3 linked regions of the Macaca fascicularis genome follow. The protein of the gene in region 3 binds, or shares a complex with, the protein of the main gene of each other region. Links are inferred from orthologs where the notes say so. Each region holds a gene or a part of one and is shown on either strand. Other genes may lie near its edges.

Region 1 (3,648 bases), on a different chromosome or scaffold from region 3:
TGGTGAAACCTGGTCTAAGTCTTAGTTCTTCCTTCCCCAGTGTCCTACAGGCAATTCGAAAGACCATCTGTGACTGGGAGGGAGGGCGAGAGCCCCCCAATGACCCATGCTTGAGAGGGGAGAAGGACCCCAAAGGTGGATTTGACATCAAGGTGCCCCGGCGTGCTGTGGGGCCATCCAGCACACAGGTAAGCGGCTCCAGGCACAGGCCAGCTGCGTTGACTCAGAGGCCAGCCCAGCTATGGTAGGTCATCATGGCTGGCCATGGGCAGTGGGACTGGGAGCCATTGGTCAGGAGGGGCAGGGTTGAGTGGCTGCTCTGGTTTTATTCTGCCATATTGTTTTGATATAGGAAGGAGGACCACTGGCTTAAGATTCAGGAGACCTGGATTCTAGTCCTAGATACCTGTGTGACCTCGGGCACGTTACAGATCTCTCTGTGCCTCAGTTGTTTAAACTAGCTAATGGGGATAATACCACATCCACCTTGCCTGGCTATCTTCTAGTCCTATGAAGTATAGATTCCAAAGTGCAGGAGGAGGTTAAAGTGGAATCTATACACATCTATCCTGTCCCTCTTTAATAAGCCCTGGCCCTTTCCCCTAAAAGTTCTGCCTCTGACTTGCTGTGTGATCTTGGGCAAGCACCTTGAGCTCTCTGAGCTCTGACTATCTTCTCTGCAAAATGAAAACTTCGAATGAGATTGTGTTACTAACAAAATATCCCTTAGTTCCACATCCTTCCAAAAGTGCAAGTGTTGAAAGCCCTTGTCCCCTTAGAGGAAGTCCAGTATTTGGAAACACTCAGAGTTGCCAGCCAGAGCTTCTACGCAAGAGGTCGCCCGTGGCTTATCCAGAGCAGTCATAACATTACAGAAAAAAAGTCAATAATCTGAGTATCTCCGTTAAGTCCCTGCTACCTACTTAAGGCTAGGTAGTTTCTGGTAGTATTTTTGATGTGCTGGAAAAAGCAGATGGTTCTCATTGCGGGTTTAAGGGTCTCAGAGGCCTCACTTCCCATGACCTTTAAGCCTCTCTCTGCTCTCAGCCACCCGAGATGGACCATCCGAGGCCCACCCCCTGACCCTTCTCCCTGTGTGTGTGTCTGTGTCTGTGCTGGGGGCTGGGGCAGGGGAGAGGTGGGTTCTCGGCAGGGTCGTCTTAACTCCCCTTGGCTTGACAACCCTCTGCCAGTTTGCACCAATCTCACCGGCTGGTTGTAGAACGCCCCGAGGAAGCGTCTGCAAACAGTTCTGTGTAGTATCAAGGACTGAGGTCCGGGGAACACTGAGCAGGGCTTTCAGGTGTTTCTGTAAGTTTTAAGACATGAGTGAGCAGGAGACAGACAAGGCACAAAAGACACTGGAAAGGAGGAGGAGGGGGCTTAACAGGCAGAGAGAAAAGGAGAGGTGAGGAAGGGAGGATTTGTGTAGATGATGTGAGAGGGGTGGGTCACCAGCAGTAAATCCCCCCTCACCCCCAGCCTCCACCAGGTCATGCCAGGGTGGCACAGACATGTGGAATAGACTCCTAGACAACCAGAGCTGGGAGAGCTCTTAGAGAAACCTAGGCCCTCCCCATATCTTGCAGATGGGGAAACTGAGGTCTAGAGAGGGGAAGTGACTTGTCCAAGTCACAAGGCGAGTCCCAGGTGGAGGTGGGACAAGAACCCAGGTCTCCTGACACCCACCCAGGGCTCTGGTATGGTCTGCAGGGCACAGTAGACATGGGCATCTTGCATAGTTGGGATAGAGACTGGTTTGGTGAATTAAATGCTCTGTTAAGTAAAAGTACATGGGAAAAGAGTTCACCCTCTTATGGGTGAAACCAGTTTTCAGATCGTTAGAGTTGGACATCAATCAGACAGCATCCACAACAGATTAGACTTGCATTCTTCCTTTGAGGACTTGAGAGGCCGTCATGAGAAGAGTGCTTCTCGGCTCTTAGGGATGATGAGACGGGCCCCCCAACAGGCCTGCAGATGGGGGACTGTCTGAGGCACTGACGGCCACCATGGCTGCTTTCCCACAAAGGAAGCCCTGTGGCAGGGATGGTGGGTCACGTTTCTGTGGCTGCCCTGCCCGCATCAGTGCCAGGTATGTGGTGGGGAAGATCCCAGGGAAGCTCCAGAGGCAGCGAAGACGAACGCGGTTGCTGGGAGGTTGGAGTGTCTCAGAGGTAGCCCCCGGCAGTCGGCAGTCGTGGCGGCTTTCCCACCGTATACAATACCTCTTGCTTTTCTCTCTCTCTCTCTCTCTCTCTCTTTCTCTCTCTCCCTCTTCCCTGTCTCTCCTGCCCTCCCGTTCCCTCTTCCTTCTCTCCTATCTGTGTCTTAGGCCTGCCAGTGGTCCCCGAGGGCTTTGTTTCACCCCACTGGTGGCACACAGGGCCGAAGAGGCTGCCGATCCCTGGTATCACACCGCCTGGCTGGGTGGTTTGGGTACCCTTCTCGAGGAGGCAGCAGGAATGGACTAGCCTGGCTCCTCAAGGCCCCTTCCAGCCCTAAGATTCACAGACAAATGATGTGGAGAGATCTAGATTAGCAAAGAGAACCACCCCACCGCACTTGCATCCTTTGCACTTAAGGCACCCTGTAAGCGGGAGTTAATTGTCTAGTAGCCTCCTGTGTAAGTACCAATGTTAACCCGCCTTCCGCCCCGGACTTCAGCAGGCTGTGCAGTGCAGCCGATGCCACCAAGGGGGCGCCATTGCTCAGCCACGGGGTCAAAACGCTGAGGATCAGGAACAGGTGTGGGAGGGGGTTCGTTCTGATCTTATCCCATTTCTCAGTTCCTCAGAATGTTAGTTCTGAAAGGGACTGGTGTGAGAAGGCATCTGGTCCAACCCCCTCATGTTACATGAGACAACTGAGGCCCAGAGTGGGGGCTTTGTTGCCTAAGGTCACACAGCAAATCAGCAGCAGTGCCTGGCCTTGAACCCCGGTCTTTTGACTCCCAGTCCAGTGCTCCGCCCATGGCATCTGTGGCCCTCTGGGAAAACAGGGAGTGAGTGACTCCAGGGTGACATGTAATGAGGTTCTCCTCTGATATACACACCCTTGGCCAAGCAGAGCAGGGAGCCACCTGCTGTGGCCAGGCCCACCGGCCCAGGGATGCCACGGGGCCCGGGTTGGCCATGAAGCTTTTCACAGTTCCACATTTACTTCTCAAACCCTAAACTGGTGCTTCCTTAGGACAATGCTTTTTAAGAGCAGACATCTGCAGACAAGAATAAATACATAAATACAACACGAAGCAACCTTTTCCCCTGGGGTGGAGGGCCAGCTTCTGACCTTCTCATCTTGCCTTCTTTTTCAAGCTGTACATGGTGCGGACCATGCTTGAATCGCTCATTGCAGACAAAAGCGGCTCCAAGAAGACCCTGAGGAGCAGCCTCGACGGACCCATTGTCCTCGCCATAGAGGACTTTCACAAACAGTCCTTCTTCTTCACACACCTGCTCAACATCAGTGGTGAGCTGCATCCCACCCCTGCTGAGGCATGGAGGGAGGGGACGAAGGGCTCAGAGCCACTAAGACCACCAAGCCAGGCATGGCAAAGGGACGTGATCGTTGACCCTAAGGACGTGATCGTTGATATCACCGCCAAGGAAAACACACACACTTTCCAGTGGGCTTTTGGAGCTGGGA
Region 2 (4,090 bases), on a different chromosome or scaffold from region 3:
GTTATTTTGATTCTAAATGACTTTATGGAGATACATGGACATATGGATTTTACAATGATCTTTAGTTTCCTCTTCGGCCTTTGGACAACACTTTTCATAGCTGATTATATCCAAAGCATTTAATGTTCCCGTTGAAGTGAAGAGCTTGAAATATAGGGCCTTTTGAGACTATTCCAAAGCAGGTGATAAAAACAAAACAAAAATCCAGAAGCAAAAAACGAAGGGCCAGCATGGGTGGCTCATGATTGTAATCCTAGCAGTTTGGGAGGCTGAGGCAGAAGGATTGCTTGAGGCCAGGGGTTCGAGACCAGCGAGGGCAACAAAATTGGATCCCTGTCGCTACAAAAATTTAAAAAGCTCAGCCCCGGTGTAGTGACCCTCGCTTGTAGTCCCAGTTACTCCGGAGGCTGAGGCATGAGGATCGCTTGAGTCTAGGAGGTCTAGGCTGCAGAGAGCCGTGATTGCGCTACCGTACTCCAGGCTGGGTAAGAGTGAGATCCTGTTTCAAACAACCCCCACCCCTAAAAAACCGTGCACTTGACTTTAAAAGTGTAGGAAGATTACATGCCAAGGAGAGTCACAGAAAAGAGAAATTAGGACAGGAAAGCCCTACAAGCTATGCATGTTTATTTTATAATCGAGTCTTTAAGGGTATGGAGTATTCATACTCAACTTGTACCCCCAGTGTCCAGTACACTGCTTAGTAAACAGCTGGAATCAAGAAATCTTTGCTAAATTTTAAATTAATTGATGGGGGCGGAAGCTCAGAAAGTAAAACCTGACTCGCATTATTTCTAAGAAGGCAGAGGAAGTAAAAATCTAGTTTTCTATACTCTGTCCCTTTTTAATCCTTCTGTGAATGGATGTCCCTGATTCACTGGCATTTCCTAATTAACCAAGTTCTGCCAAGTTTCACATGAAACTTGGGGAACCGATTTCATTCCCCCACAATCACCCTGTGGCGCCACCTTCCGGAGCTGTGAGGAAACTCCGGACTTCCCCCCAACACCGCCCCCTCCCTCCACCTTCGGTCTCCGCTTTCTGCGCTCTGCCTAGTTGTTTTCGGAGGTGTCTGCGCGCATGCGCTTTGGACGGGCAGCCTTGTCTAAGAGAGACTACAATTCCCAGAAGACAGTGCGAAAGAAAAAAAAATCCCGCGGCCCGGCGTGGGGGAGGTGGCAGAAATGAAGACTCGCGAGAGAACGAGGTTCAGGCGGCTGCGCGAAGTGGGTGGAGGGAGACCCGAGAGAGTGAGGAAGAACGGGAGGAGGTGCCGTCCCACAATACCAGGCGGGAGGGCGGGTAGTCGGTTTGTATCCGGGCTGTGAGGTGCTCGGAGCCTCGGCGGACCTTGCTGCCTCTGTCTCTTTAACGCGAGAGGAAGCGATGCAGAGGGGTGGAAAATGGCAGAGCTGCAGATGTTACTAGAGGAGGAGATCCCGTCTGGCAAGAGGGCGCTGATCGAGAGTTACCAGAACCTGACTCGGGTGGCGGACTACTGTGAAAACAACTACATACAGGTGAGGCGCGCTGGCGGCCGGCGGGCGCTGGCCGGGTCGAGGACCCGCCGGAGTGACCAGCCCACTGGGCGGGGTGGGGAACTGCCCTCACCTCAGCGGTTGCCACCAGCCCGAGCCCCTACCGCAGTCCCAACCCCAGCCCCAACCGGGGACAGAGCGAGTGGCCCGGCTGAGGGAGTCGGGCTGCGATACAGGAAGTGGCTGTGGTGGTGGAAATCGATGGAAGGGGAGAGAAAATGGGCGAGGGAGCCGGGAGCCCGCCGCAGCCCGGCGCCCCCCTCGCGTCCGCTTTCCCCAGGGCCGGGCCACCGGGGTCGCGCGCCCCCCAGGTAGCCTCCAGTCCACGGAGCTGGCGTCCTGGAGACCCCCCTGCTGCCGCCGCGCCGCCTCTCTGCGCCCGGAGAGGAGGTCCAGGACGGGAGAGGGGAGAGGAGAGGGCAGGGACCAGGCTGAAGCCGCAGAAGGGATAGGACCAGCGGGGTGTGTGTTGTGTGTCGGCGGAGGGTGGGGTGGGGGCCATTATGTCAGTTTCAGCCCCCAGAGGGTGTGTCTTTTATTTATTTATTTAAAAAAAATTTGTCATGAGTCACATTACACCGACCTCCCGGAGGAGAGGAGGAAGCGGGTGTGGGGAGTGAGGGAGGGCGTTTGAGAGAAGTTAATCTTAAAATTCCTTTAATTGAAGGTTTGTAAATCTGCCTGCTTGTCCATTTTCAAGTCGGGTTCCCCCCCCCCCCCCGCCATCGTTTTCGCTTCCGCCCCACCGTAATGTATTCTAAGAGGTTGTTAGGGCTGCTATCATTAATTATCAAACAGGAATTGTTTTTAACTCCTTGGAAAAACGGCTTAAATACTCTCTCTTCTCCCAAAAGTTCTTGAACTGTAGGCTTCATAAGTAACTTAATACTGGTGTCATCGCTGGTTGCTTATTTTCTGAGGTTTCTCTCTTAACAAGCTAAGTAAATGTATAGTATATGAATCCAAGTACAGAAATGAACAGAGGTAGCCTCCGAACTACAACATAAAAATATCAGTTATTGTAAATTAGAAAACTCTTGGGACTTTGTGACAGATGCTGGTTTGTTCATTTCTTTTTGGATGATTGGAAGTGAATTGTGTGTGGTAGTTTGTTTTGAAGACCTTTAACTGTGTAAACCAACAGTTTGCACTAGAAACAAAGTAGCACAGTCCTTTGTATAAATATAAAGCCACCAGAAATGCTCTTGCTTTTGGTAAGGCAAGGCTAGAACGTGCTTTGAAAGGTTAGGGTTATTGCAATTCAGAACTAAATTATTTATAGAAATGCCTCCCATGTGATTATAATTTTTAAGAACCAATGTTTGTGTGTTGGCAAATGCTTTCCCTCTTTATTTTTAGAGGGAGATGCTGTTTTCAGAATGTTTTGAATATTTCTTAATTTTGATGTTAGTAACATTGTATCTTCAGTAGCACTACTCGGAATTTATCTTCACAATTTTTTTGTAAAGTTTTTACTTTAGGAATTCTTCGGATAAGTAAACTTGTTGAATACCTGTCACATCTACTGTATCACTTTGTTTATGCAAACTTTATATTTAGCCCTTCGAAACTTAAAAATCGAGTAGAAAAGTGGGTATAGTTTGCAAATACAAAAGTGATCTTGTAGTTTATCGATATTAAAAATAGGCAACTTTTATTCAACTTAACATGAAAAGCCTTGAAATTGAGGAGAACCTTAATTTGCTGAAAGTTTTAAAGATTTTTGAAAGCCAAAAGGAGAGCACAGTAGGTTAAATTGCTCCCTTTCCAGAAAAGTTATGTCTTCTCTGTAGAAGTCAGTAGATAAGTACTTCATACAGGGTGGCTCCTTTTTGTTTTGCGTGTTGGGAAATCTGACGAGTATATAGTGTGGTAACTATGTGTTGGCAACTCTTGGTAACTGTAAACGTGTTTTAACCTGTGTACTATTTCTTTTTCAGGTAGTTGTATGCTGTAATGCTTTTTTTACCCCTCTCTGACCCCTTTCCTTTACTCCTCTTGCTACGATCATGTAACTTTGAAGCACTTTAAAACTTCTTTGCTAATATATCTAATTAAGTCATGTTATTTCTCATACAGTCTCTCACTTTATAAAATGTTAGTGCCATGGTGCAGGCCCCGTTTTTTTATTTTCTTTTTTTGCGGGGGCGGGGTGGGGTATAATTCTAAATCTGACACCAGTGAGGTGTTTTGTTTATACTGGGGGGGGGGGGGGGGGAAAGAATTCACACAAAGCAATGATGATCTAAATACCTTAGTAGCCTTTATTCATTGGGCTGCATGATCCAGGCCACTAGTTGCCTCCCTAAGGGACTCAGACAGGGTCAGACTCAGAAAGTGATGTGGAAGTTGATGTGGTAGGTGGTGCTGATGACTTTGGTGCTAAGAATGGGGAATGAATAATATTAGAAATATCCATTAGGGTGTCTGTTGAGGTCTTTCTATATCCTTCCTGGGACCTGATTGGGTTATTTATAACTAATACTCTTCATAAATATACCTCTTCTCAGTGAAAGTATGCAGTTCACATGTGCTTTGAGAATTTTTAAATA
Region 3 (3,648 bases):
TCCTGGGCTCAAGTGATTCTCCTGCCTCAGCCTCCCAAGTAGCTGGGATTACAGGCGCCCACCATACCTGGCTAATTTTCTGTATTTTTAGTAGAGACGGAGTTTTGCCATGTTGCCCAGGTTGGTCTCGAACTCCTGAGCTCAGGCAATCCACCCAACTTGACCTCCCAAAGTGCTGGGATTATAAGCATGGGCCTGGTCACCGTCAAGAATTTCAGTCTGTAAAGTGCTTAAAGCCGTGTGGTACTAAAATTGGAGAAATTATTCGTCAATAAATACCTGGATGTTGGGAAATGCTTCTTGAAGGACTGGTCTTGAAGGTTGGGTAGGATTTTGATAGATGGAGAATAACAGAAGAAACACAGTTTAAAAAGCAACACAAGAAAGGCAGGATAAATGTAAGATTAGAAACTCAATGACAAACACATAGAAGATTATTTTTATAGGAACTTTGGCTTCCTAAAAAAAGACTTTAGAAGTTGAACCTGTAATGCTAGTTACTTTAATTGCCAATAAAAATTTTAGTAGAAGCAGATAAACTATTATGGTGTCTTTCCCTGTAGCGGTTCAATGCACAGAGAAAGACGCAAGTTTTTAAGATCTGCACTGAAGGAATTGGCTACTGTCCTCTCTGATCAGCCTGGATTGCTAGGTCCCAAGGTAACTGATTTAATTATTATTTCAATAATTGTGCCATATTAAAATTTTAAAAAACATTTCTACATGAAATTTTACTGAAATTTGAGTCAGGGACTACATAAAAGGATTTTTATATTTAGTGGAGCATGAATTTTCTGACTTGACATTCATACATCGTACCTCCCTGCATTCTTCTCCCTTGTATGCATGCTCTCTCTCTCCTACATACTTGTAAGTTCTCTTGTGCTCTCTCCTGTTAGTCTCCTCACTCTTTTGAATTGATATTATCACTTCTTGCCAATGACTTTTCACATAGAAAGAGATTACGAGTTTGTTTTTTGTCATTGAATAAGAATAAACACTTATTTTTTTTAAACAGGCACTTTTTGTTTTTATGGCGTTATCCTTTGCCCGTGATGAAATCATCTGGCTACTTCGTCATGCAGATAACATGCCAAAGAAGAGTGCAGACGACTTTATAGATAAGTACGTTAGCAACATTTAAAAAATTATTTTCTGTATATAGATGCTGCTTGATTTACAATGGGGTTATGTCCTGATAGACCCCATTGTAAGTTGAAAATATTGTTAAGTTGAAATGCATTTAGTACATCTCATCTACTGAACATTAGAGCTTAGCCTAGCCTACCTTAAATGTGCTCAGAACACTTTTATTAGCCTACAGTTGGGCAAAATTATCTGGCAACATAGTACACTGAAGAGTGTAAGTTGTTTATCTTTCTGATTACATAGTTGACTGGGAACTGCGGCAGCATCATGAGAGAGTATCATACTGCCTATTGCTAGCCTGGAAAAAAAAGTCAAAATTCAGAGTACAATTTGTACTAAATGTGTATTGCTTCTGCACCATTGTAAATTAGAAAGATAGTACATCCAAATCACTGTAAGGTGTGCACCATCTGTATTCTGATTTATGGGCTGGGGAATCTGGAGACTTATATTTGAAGCAAAATTATTTTGAAGAGCTTGGAATATTTGTGATATATCATTAGATGATATTAATTAGACTGCAAAGTCAACTTTAGTTTTAAATTAGGGCTTTTGTTTTCTCATAGTATGCTTTGTGGTGATAAAGTTTTTGTTTTCTTGCTATGCTCAATAATATTTCTTACAGAATTCATTTTTTAAAACTAGTTACTACACAAAACATTTAAATAAAAATCCTGTTTGTAGAGTTGCAACCCAGTGTGTCATTAAAATGTCTTTGTGTTGTTTTAGTTCAGTCTCTCAATAAGAGTTAGAAAAATGGAGCAGAGAAGTAAGAGCATACAGGAAAATTTTATTTCTTGCTAATCCTCTTTTATTTGAGATTTTTTGATGATGTATTTATAACATGTCCTGTTTTTTTATTTTTTTTAATTTAATTTTGTTTTGTTTTGTTTTGTTTTTTGAGACAGAGTTTTACTCTGTCACCCAGGCTAGAGTGCAGTGATGCCATCTTGGCTCATTGCAACCTCAACCTCCTGGGTTCAAGCGATTCTCCTGTCTCAGCCTCCCAAGTAGCTGGGTTTACAGGCACCCACCACCATGCCCAGCTAATTTTTGTATTTTTAGCAGAGATGGGATTTTACCTCGTTGGCCAGGCTGGTCTTGAACCCCTGACCTCAGGTGATCAGCCTACCTTGGCCTCCCGAAGTGCTGTAATTACAGTTGTGAGCCACTGTACCCGTGAACACTATTTTCAGTTTGGATTTTCTGCTATCAATTTTTAGCCTTAGCTTTTTTTCTTTTTTTCTTTGCTTTCCATGATTTCTTTATTTATGAAACAATTTAAAAAGGAAGTAATTGACATCAGGTATTAAACAGTGCCCTTTATAAGAAAAATACTTTTATGAATGAGATCTAGGGCCTCTAATATATTCTTTAATAATGGTGAATTTATTATTTGAAATATTTTTCTTGAAATTTTAAAAAAGGCACATTGCTGAATTAATATTTTACATGGAAGAGCTTAGAGCACATGTGAGGAAATATGGACCTGTAATGCAGAGGTATTACGTGCAGTACCTTTCTGGCTTTGATGCTGTTGTCCTCAATGAACTCGTGCAGGTAAAAACTATCTTATACTATTTCCCTTTTGTTCCTTCCTTCCCACCTTTGATGGTATTTGATTTGTTTGTTCAACAAGCATTTATGAAATATCATGTGCCAAGCGATAAATCATGTTTATATTTTGTCGAGATCATTACCTAGAAGGGAAGAAACAGTTGTAGTCCAATGTGATAGGTATTGTGCGTAAACTGTATATAAAGCTCAGAGTGAACACAAGGAAAGACACGATTATTTATCCTGAAGATGAAGGTGTATACTCACCAAATTACAGAGGGCCTTGGGAAAGAGGAGGTTAGTCATAAATCAGATGTACTACTTAGAAAGATCACCCTGGTTCAGTGTGGATGATAGATTGCTGGGAACCAAGTAAGGAGGCAGAGAGACCAGAAGAAAAATGACAGCAGTAGGCTAAATGAGAGGTGATGAGAGCCTGAGCTTGGGCAGAAGCTATGGAGATTCAGAAGAGATGATAGAGACAATATAATTGATAATTAACTATTAGAAGGAAAGAATAAAAATCTTTTTGAAGAAGATTGTTAAAGGATGACCAGTAAATAAAGATTTCATATAGATATTCCCATTTAAATGTCCAATTTTTTTTTCTTAATTGGTTTTTAGCCTTTTTTTTTTTTTTTGCTTTCCATAATTTACTTATTCAGTGTTTTTCATCTTTATTTAAATTAAAAAAAGCCGGGCGCGGTGGCTCAAGCCTGTAATCCCAGCACTTTGGGAGGCTGAGACGGGCGGATCACAAGGTCAGGAGATCGAGACCATCCTGGCTAACACGGTGAAACCCCATCTCTACTAAAAAATACAAAAAACTAGCCGGGCGAGGTAGCGGGCGCCTGTGGTCCCAGCTACTCCGGAGGCTGAGGCAGGAGAATGGCGTGAACCCGGGAGGCGGAGCTTGCAGTGAGCTGAGATCCGGCCACTGCA

The links.
Region 1: NCKAP1 (region 3) and CYFIP2 share a complex: the UniProt entries of both Homo sapiens proteins name them as parts of the WAVE1 complex. The link is inferred for Macaca fascicularis from reciprocal best matches to the Homo sapiens genes NCKAP1 and CYFIP2.
Region 2: NCKAP1 (region 3) and ABI1 share a complex: the UniProt entries of both Homo sapiens proteins name them as parts of the WAVE2 complex. The link is inferred for Macaca fascicularis from reciprocal best matches to the Homo sapiens genes NCKAP1 and ABI1.

Annotation. Positions count from the first base shown.
Region 1 is NC_088380.1:164,117,385-164,121,032, forward strand, and holds part of CYFIP2 (cytoplasmic FMR1-interacting protein 2), read left to right. Parts: intron 1-40; coding exon 41-188; intron 189-2,335; coding exon 2,336-2,410; intron 2,411-3,317; coding exon 3,318-3,471; intron 3,472-3,648. UniProt on the Homo sapiens protein: Involved in T-cell adhesion and p53/TP53-dependent induction of apoptosis. Does not bind RNA. As component of the WAVE1 complex, required for BDNF-NTRK2 endocytic trafficking and signaling from early endosomes.
Region 2 is NC_088383.1:27,593,715-27,597,804, reverse strand, and holds the start of ABI1 (abl interactor 1), read left to right. Parts: upstream 1-1,237; 5' UTR 1,238-1,403; coding exon 1,404-1,520; intron 1,521-4,090. UniProt on the Homo sapiens protein: May act in negative regulation of cell growth and transformation by interacting with nonreceptor tyrosine kinases ABL1 and/or ABL2. May play a role in regulation of EGF-induced Erk pathway activation. Involved in cytoskeletal reorganization and EGFR signaling.
Region 3 is NC_088386.1:78,538,725-78,542,372, reverse strand, and holds part of NCKAP1 (nck-associated protein 1), read left to right. Parts: intron 1-563; coding exon 564-660; intron 661-1,018; coding exon 1,019-1,125; intron 1,126-2,576; coding exon 2,577-2,709; intron 2,710-3,648. UniProt on the Homo sapiens protein: Part of the WAVE complex that regulates lamellipodia formation. The WAVE complex regulates actin filament reorganization via its interaction with the Arp2/3 complex. Actin remodeling activity is regulated by RAC1.